2 linked regions of the Tribolium castaneum genome follow. The protein of the gene in region 2 interacts with the protein of the main gene of each other region in a biochemical or structural test. Links are inferred from orthologs where the notes say so. Each region holds a gene or a part of one and is shown on either strand. Other genes may lie near its edges.

Evidence for each region.
Region 1: the proteins of fu (region 2) and cos form a complex in vitro, tested with the Drosophila melanogaster proteins (4 studies listed by BioGRID, with this or other methods). The link is inferred for Tribolium castaneum from reciprocal best matches to the Drosophila melanogaster genes fu and cos.

Annotation. Positions count from the first base shown.
Region 1 is NC_087402.1:2,906,930-2,911,162, forward strand, and holds the start of cos (kinesin-like protein costa), read right to left. Parts: upstream 2,801-4,233; 5' UTR 2,670-2,800; coding exon 2,668-2,669; exon of another isoform or gene 2,622-2,667; coding exon 1-2,621. Other genes in the region: mRpL48 (large ribosomal subunit protein mL48), read right to left, coding at 2,877-3,044, 3,094-3,354, 3,401-3,505; uncharacterized protein LOC103312599, read right to left, coding at 3,729-3,833, 3,892-3,951, 3,998-4,233. UniProt on the Drosophila melanogaster protein: Regulates cubitus interruptus (ci) processing by recruiting multiple kinases to promote its efficient phosphorylation.
Region 2 is NC_087395.1:1,160,890-1,165,113, forward strand, and holds the start of fu (serine/threonine-protein kinase fused), read right to left. Parts: upstream 2,801-4,224; coding exon 2,633-2,800; intron 2,585-2,632; coding exon 2,471-2,584; intron 1-2,470. Other genes in the region: centriolar and ciliogenesis-associated protein HYLS1, read left to right, coding at 3,031-3,184, 3,236-3,577, 3,626-3,798. UniProt on the Drosophila melanogaster protein: Probable serine/threonine-protein kinase; maternally required for correct patterning in the posterior part of each embryonic metamere. May be involved in control of cell division during metamorphosis and ovarian development. May interact with costal-2.

The DNA.
Region 1 (4,233 bases), on a different chromosome or scaffold from region 2:
CGCCTGCCACTTGAACCGTCACTGCGGAATGTCTCGACCCCAAGACCCGACTTATCCTCTCATTATCAGCCCCATCTCCCGTCAGGTTCCTCAAGACCAAGTACAACTTGTCTTCGTGTTGTTGCTGGAGCGAGGCTATCCTCCGTTCAGCGTCAGACCTAACCAGTTGTAAGTTATGACTGAGTTTTTGCACACGATATGCGAGATTTTCGTGTTGGTTTTCAATATCCAAAATCTCCAAATCGAGCTTTTTGCTGCTGCTCCTCAAATCGATAATCTTCTCGAAATATCTATGAAGGAGGATCCTCATTTCGTTCTCACTCAGTTTGAGGAACCGCTCCATCAGCATCCGATCGCCATGATCCTCAATCTCTTTGACTGGCAGGTGCCCACACAAAATCGAGTTTTTGTATTCTATGATCAAGTCTATTGCCTCAATAGCCTCCTCGTACTGCAGCAACTTGCGTTCGTCGGAGTCGTTCAGGAATTTTTTATTCTGGGATTTGAGCGTGATTTTGCACCGCAATTCTAATAAATAGTCGCGGGTTTTGCGCAAGTTGCGAATTTCGTGTCTCAGACTTTCAAGTTCTTCGCTATTTAGCGAAACGTTTGGTTTAATTAAAGCAACGACTTTAACATCGGGGGTTTTCGGCACGCTCTCGCAACTCGCTTTCGACTTAGAGCGCTCCTCCTTCAGCTGTTTCTCGTAGATTTGTTTATACTTTTCTTTCTCTTGTTTGTACTTTTTCAACTTCTCCCGATCTGTATGTAGACTACTTTCTAATTCTAGCAATTTGTTCCCGTCTTCGGTCAGGTTTTTCAACGATTCGGTGTCTCGCAGTCGCTCCTCAAGGGCCACAACTTCGCTCTTGTATTTCCCTTCCAAGTGGTGATTTTTTTGTAATTTCGCTTGCAAGAACTTGACCTCGGCGTTTTTATACTCCTTGCGTAACAACTGGCATTTTTGTTCGATTTTATGGTGAGCACTCGATTTTGTGTCTTTGTGCTTCAGGAGCTTTTCCATGAGGTTTTCCTTGACCCGAATTGTTTTTTCCAAATCAGAGATCTTTTTTTGATTCAATTCTAACGCAGTGGCGATTTGTTTAAGGATTTTCTTCTTGTTATCGTACGACGTAACTGCGATTTTTTGACTCTCGACATCGTCATTAATACGTAACGTATTGAGGGACAAGCAAGGGTTTAGTTCTTCAGCCGAGTGGATACTCCCTCTGCGCCCCCGTGCCCCCTTCATATGATACTCATTATTCGAGCTATTCATACTTTCTTTGGTACAAGAATTCGTAACGTTTGCACAATTAGCCTCAGAGACTAATTTATCGGTGTTTGAGCGAAAAGTCTCCATCAAACCTTGAACCCTATCAAGGAGACTCTCCTTCTCCTCCTCCTCAATCGCCTCGCTCTCACTACTATCACTCTCAATTTCCTCCTCAATCCGCTCGAGTGATCTATGAGGCTCTGAATTTTCACTCAAACAGTCTTCGCATTCTTGTTTGAGCATCAACCACTGTGATATTTGTTCTTGTTCGCTTTTTGGTAACAAGTCGTTCGCTACCAATCGTTGGAACAACTCTTCAGCGTTCGAGACAAGTTTCAGGAGTTGATTGGCGGCGAACTGTAGGCCGAAAACATCACAATTCTCTTGTGTTGACTCAAACGTAGCGTATGAGTTAACAGTGACGAAATTTTTGATCATTTGAGCCCTCAAACCCAACTGAAGTGTATACAAAGTCTCGGTGAAGTCTTGAGCAAGGGGGGACACGCAACAGATCAGAAGTGTCTTTGCGCGCCCCCCGAACGAGTCTTTCAGTAGTGTCGTCAAAACGGATTGAGTGTACGGCACAAAACTGCAGTTAAAATCAGACAGCGACATAATACACCTCTGTAAAGTCTGTATCCCTAAATCAGTGGGAATCGTTTGCATCATCCCGTTGCTGTCATAAACTAGAACTTTCTCAGTCCCTGCCAAATCGGCAAAACTCGCAGTTGAGACGCGATGTTGCACACTTGTCTCCACCACCCACTGCTGCTCCAAAGTGAGTGTGAACAACGTGTGGGCGCACTTGGGGGCTATATTCGACATTCCGACTTGAATCAACTGAAACACGTCACTGATATTCCGGCACTCGATGCTCCCAACGCCTAGCAAATCCTGGACGTTTTCGCCACAAATCTGCGACCAAGCGATATGCACGCACCAATTCCTGTCTCTGTATTGTTTCATTTTGGCGAAAACTTCGCGAATAAACCGCGGGATAATCCCGTGATCAGCCTCGCTAGCCGCACAGTGGAAACCTGGGCCTAGGAGCGTGTAGGACTTTCCAGTCCCGGACTGGCCCAGCGTGACCACCGAAACATCGCACCCTTCCACCAAATAATTCACCAAAGGGGCTGCCGTGGTTGTGAACACCGTGTTTTGGCAACAGTCGGCTGGAAGGGCGTAATTGACGGGGTAGTTTTGCGAATTCGCGAGTTGGATGGTGTTGTTGACGGGGTTGGAGTGCACGCAAACCATGTCGTTGGGGGAGTAGCCCGACGTATGGATGCGGACCGCCGTTTCTATGTGCATCTCCATCCTGGGAGAATTCAACCCATTGTATAACCTAAAATTTACAATTGAGTTGGGGGCTGGATAGTGGTGGGAATTACATAATGGGGGCGAAGTACCTGGCGGTTGCGGCGGTTTGGGTTAATTTATTAAAAATCAATGGATTTTAAATGCATTTTACAGCTGCCTCAAACAACACAACTGGGGAGTTTGGGTTTAGCACTAGGAGGGAACAAAATGGAGGATTTAAATAAAAGCGGCAAACGAGTTAATTAATCATTTTTATTAGACTATTTATGAATTAACATTTTTATTTCTTCTTCAAAGGCCCCCCTAAGTCGTCCAGTTCCTGTTTCAATTGTTTCAACTCCGTGTCAGGCACGTATCTAATCTCCTCGTCCCACTCTTCATGAGGCCGCACGTGGACGGTGATCCCCGATGGGGTACTAGCCTCCAGTGCACGTAAAATAACAGGCAACTGCAAATACGTGCCAGTTTCAAGCATTTCACTTTGAAAAATTAAATACCTGAGTTGATAAAACATCAGTAATTTGTACTGTCCGATCATAGTGCTTCAAATTGTACTGTGTGTTGATAATTTCACTCTTCGGTTTATAGGTCGTGACTTGAATGTCTTGATGGGGGGTTGCCCAAGCTTCCTCCACACTTATATCCATACTTCGCAATAATTTATGAATAAACTTTTGATAATTTTCCAATATGGCATAATCGTAGCCACGAATTTGAATATTTAAAGTGTCGTACATTGGAAGATTCGATTTCATGGCCTAAAAAATGTTTTTTGGGTAACTTTAAGAGGTTATATTTGGTTACCTCGAGATAATCGGGCTCGTAGAGGTTGTTCCCGAATGATTTGGGCGTCTGGTGCAAGAAACGGCATTGAAGAGCCCTACGTGTGACCCTCAATAAATTATTCATAGTATAAACTGGAGAACTTAAATTCTTTAGCGGTTACCTCCAACAAATTTGAGGTTATGTGGTCCACTTTTTTTTGATTTTGATTATAAATAAAGATAAAAAAACAACAAAACCTTTATTTAAATTTTTCTGTTACAAGATGTAAATGTAAACGTTACAAATGGTCGCTATCTGGAGACTATGGAATGTGATTTGCGTAATTGCCGATTATTAAACAGAAAAATTATTCCTTTACTTTGAAGATCTTTTGTACGTTACATAAATATTCCCTCCTGATCGCATATTGGTAATAAAAATAGAGTTTTCTACTAAAGTAAACATACAAAATCTGGAAAAAATATTTGTGGTTCATAAAAACAGTAATGACTCGTCAATCTATTAATTACCAAATAAATGCAGAGACTCGCCAGAATGAACAAGAAGTAGAGTCTGCTATCAGCTTTAGCCTACGATTGAATACTTTACTTTATTTCTCAATAAAAGACAATTTACCTTTTTCACTTTGACAAACGGCAAATATTGTGCTATGTAATATTCGTCGCTTATTTCAGGCAAGTTTTCCGTCACTAATTTATAAACCTGATCCATGGCAATCCCCATGTGGTTCAAAACGGGGCTTACATGATGCACATAGAAAGCCACAAAAGGCCCAACGTACGTATCAAAAGTCTGGTCAAGAAATTGCCTAAGCGATTGTGGTGGTTGTTTAACGCTTTCAGCGGCTATAT
Region 2 (4,224 bases):
GACACTTCCACAGTGTCCTTCCAACTAACTAGGCGTTGCCCGTACGCGCCTCACGCGTCATCATTTCCCGCCAATTTCAACAGCAGCGCCCCCTTCACTTAACAGACAGAAGGAAAAAAATGGTGAGACAAGCAGTCAAACGATACGAAAATAGAAGAAAACTGAAAAAATAATAACTTCATTGCGAACAAAAATTCTACAAATAATTAAACATAAAAATAATTTTAAATATGTTGGGGGAATACTCAGATTGTAACTGGTTTCCTGATTTCAAATTGTGTTAGATTTCTGGTGTCACCACAACTCAGTCCTGCGTAATTCACAAACATTATTTTTCAATTTTTGTAAATTTAAGGATAATTTGATTCACTACTAGAATAGCCGACAAGGAGCAATTTACTTTGATTTTTTATTTATATAAAAAAATTAACTGCATCTTGTCTCTGCTATCCCATTTAATTTATTAAATCATACTTAAATAAAAATAACAACAGACGTTGAACAGTGAATACAATTTTTTGTAAATGTGATTGTTGGTATAAAAAGCATTTTTCTAAAATCACCAAACAAAATTTTTGCACAGTTTTCATCAAATTAACACGAAAATCACAAGATTTGGTGTTGGTTGCCTAACATTTATACACTATATTGAAAATCTTTGTTTAAAAAACGAAAAGAACTTAGTAAAATATAAGGAAAAATTGTCTCTCTTTATTTGGTGTTTCAAACAAAAATTTTTAGATCGTCTGATCAACTGATTACAACAATTTAATTTAGCAACAAGATCATTAATAGATAATAGGCAAAAATAATAAGGAAAAAACAGTACAAGGAAATAAAAATTGTTTTACGAAATTACTTGAAAGAGAAAATAAGAAAATAAAGAATAACCAATAAAGACAAAAAATCTAAATTTTAAATAAAAAAATAAAAAATTGGAAAAGATGGCCTCAAAAAACATTATTGAAAATGTAAAAAAAGGATGATTAAGAAAAAACTATATAGAATAGAATAAAACTGTATAGAACTATACAGGATGCTCAAAAACTGGCGCACCAACTCAGTGGTACGCTGTTGAGAAGCATGTGTAGATCACGGAAAAAATCTTGAAAAAATTCCTAATGTCATATTTTAAAAAATATGGAGCTACAAACTTATTTTGTAAACTTCTTCAGTTTTCATTATTTTTTAATAGTTTTATGTTTCACACTAAGTAATCGTTCCCTAACACAACAATGAATAATTATTTTTAAATTTCCTATCAGACTTTAGCAGATTTTTTAATTAAAAAAAATAAAATTCGTCAAAAAAATCACAATTTGTAGATGTGTCAACATTGGGAATTATTACTTAGGAAACCGTTTCAAAAATAATTTATTTTTATTGTTGATTAAGTTCTATTGCGATCATCACTGTTAGACAACGTTGCCACATATCATCTAATTAAATATAATTAATATTTATAATTATATATATTTTTTATAATATATATATATATTTATAATATATATATATATATATATTATATATAATATAATTAATATAATTATTTATCAATAATTTTAATACAAAGAATTTTTTTACTAATTTTACCGTTATATGTAAGCAATTCTCTACCATATTCCAATAAGTTGGTGCGTCGGTTTTTGAGCACTCGGTAGAATAGAAAAAAAAGAACAGAATAAACCACAAACGACAAACTACAAAAGACGAAGCCATAAACTGAAGACAATATAATATGAAAGAAATATAGCAAAAGGTAAAAAAAAACAAAAAGTAAAGCAATGGTAATATGAAAAAGAAATGCTAAAGCAACGAATAGAATAATGTCGCAGGAGAAATAAACCCACAAAATTAAAAAAAAACAAAATAAAAAAATGCAAAAAAGGCATAAAAGAAAACACACAAAATTAAACGAAGATAGAAAGAAAAAATTATGAGACAAGCAGTTAAACGATACGAAAATAAAAGAAAACTGAAAAAATAATAAAAAATAACATGAAAAAATGTAATTTCATTGCGAACACAAATTCTACAAATAATTAAACATAAAAATAATTTAACATATGTTGGAGGAATACTGTTAGATTTCTGGTGTCACCACAACTTTTTACAATTTTTGTAAATTTAAGTATGATTTAAATCATTACTGGGATAGCAGACTAATTTACATTGGTTTTTTATTTATTAAAAAAAAAATAAACTCCATCTTGTCTCTACTATCCCATTTAATTTGTTAAATCATACTTAAATAAAAATAACAACAGACGTTGAACAGTGAATCAAAATTTTTGTAAATGTGATTGTTTGTATAAAAAGCATTTTTCTAAAATCACTAAACAAAATGTTTATACAGTTTTCACCAAATTAACACGAAAATCACCAGATTTGGTGTTGGTTGCCTAACATTTGTACGGTACATTGAAAATCTGTTTAAAAAACGAAAAGAACTTGGGAAAAATTGTCTCACCTCATTTGGAGTTTCAAACGAATCAAGCATTTGTATAATATTGGGATGATGCAAATGTCTTTGAATTTCACATTCCCTTCGTAGACCAATTATTTCCTTGTTCGATCTTCGACCCTAAATGAAATAAATTTGAACGAGTTCGAGCCTCAGTTTTTAACTCACTTTACAGATAACTTTTAAGGCAACAAAAGATGAATCTGCGATTACTTTCGCTTTGTAAACTCGTCCAAACGATCCTTCGCCCAATAATTTAATAACTTCATACTTGTCCATATCATTTTTTACACTTGGAGAGGATTGTTTTTGTTTACTTACACTTCCGCGTGACATTTTTTTGACAATCAGATGTTTGTCACGCTGACAGGCAGGGACACCAACCCTCGTGAAAGTAACTGACTGGGTGGAAAGCAATTTTTTGCAAAGAAATACCAATTTTGTTGATAAAAATGATTTTGTGATTAGCAGTGTTTAATAAAATCAACGTTATTGTGAAATTAACCAACTGCGAGGTTTTGTAACACTTATTTTATGTCCCCACTTTTAGGGAATTTGATTTTCGTATGTTGCCTAGAAATTTAAGGTTTTGTTTCAACGTTTTCTTATTTTTTTTCTTAAAAATGACCACAAAAATAAGCCCTAGGGAAGTATTAGCGTATTTAAATGACTTGGGTTATCACAACATTAACCCACAACAATTGAAAGAATTTGTTTACGGTTGGTGAGTCATTTTTTGTTACTTTAATTGAACAAAAGTTTGGTTTTCAGACTTGAAAAAATTGATAAAGTATGAAGAACGCAAGAGAAGCAAACAAAGCCTTGGAAATGAAACAGATGTGCCGAACGAAAACGAAAAAAATAAAGATGATGTGTTTCTAGTTTTACATTCACAAGGGACTCACTCTTCAAGAGCCAAAACAGTTTCAAAGAAAGAAAGTGTAATTTCGTTAAAAATCAAGACAAGTAAAGGACCACAACACCATTGTCACGAAAACACGTTGGAGGCACAAACAGCCCCTGAAAAGGGTCAAGAAGACACGCTTGACTTTGTGCCCGTTAAAGATGTGCCTTGGAAAAAAATGATTAATTCTAGCAAACCTAAAAGTTCCTGTAAGTATTTTAAAGTGTTTGTAAGTTTTTTTACGTTTAAGCTTGTAGTCATAAGACCGGGAATTCAAACAAATATTAATAAGAGTGACCCTGTCGCACTCTACCACCAATATCAAAAGTGTTGGAAGCGACAAAAAATTCCAGGTGAAGACAACAGAACCGACTTGAGGTGGGCTATTAGAGAAAAAATGATGAGTGGACCTAGAGTGACAAGAGCTTGATTTTTATGTGTATTTTTACGTTAAAACGACCAGTTTTATAATAAATTGTTACAATCATGTCGTGTTAAATGAAAATGACTTCGTGCAGAAAATCTAACCTCTAAATAAATGTAAACAAAACGATGGCGGTAATATTACAAAAAAAACTTTCAAGATTTATAAAATCGACTTTGACGACATTTGCTTCTCCTGTTTATCTAGAAATTGTCCCGCAACTGTTTTTATGATAAATTTCGAGGGGGCTGCCTTGTCTTCCATACTCAAGGATATAATCAAGTGAGTCAAAAGTTGTGTAACTACTGAGGTCATTACGATACGCGATTTGCGTATCGTAATATCTAATGGAGTATAATATTTTTCTATTTTTTAATAGTTTTTTATCTTCCTTTCTTTCTATTTTCAATACTGTCTTCTGCGGCCACATTT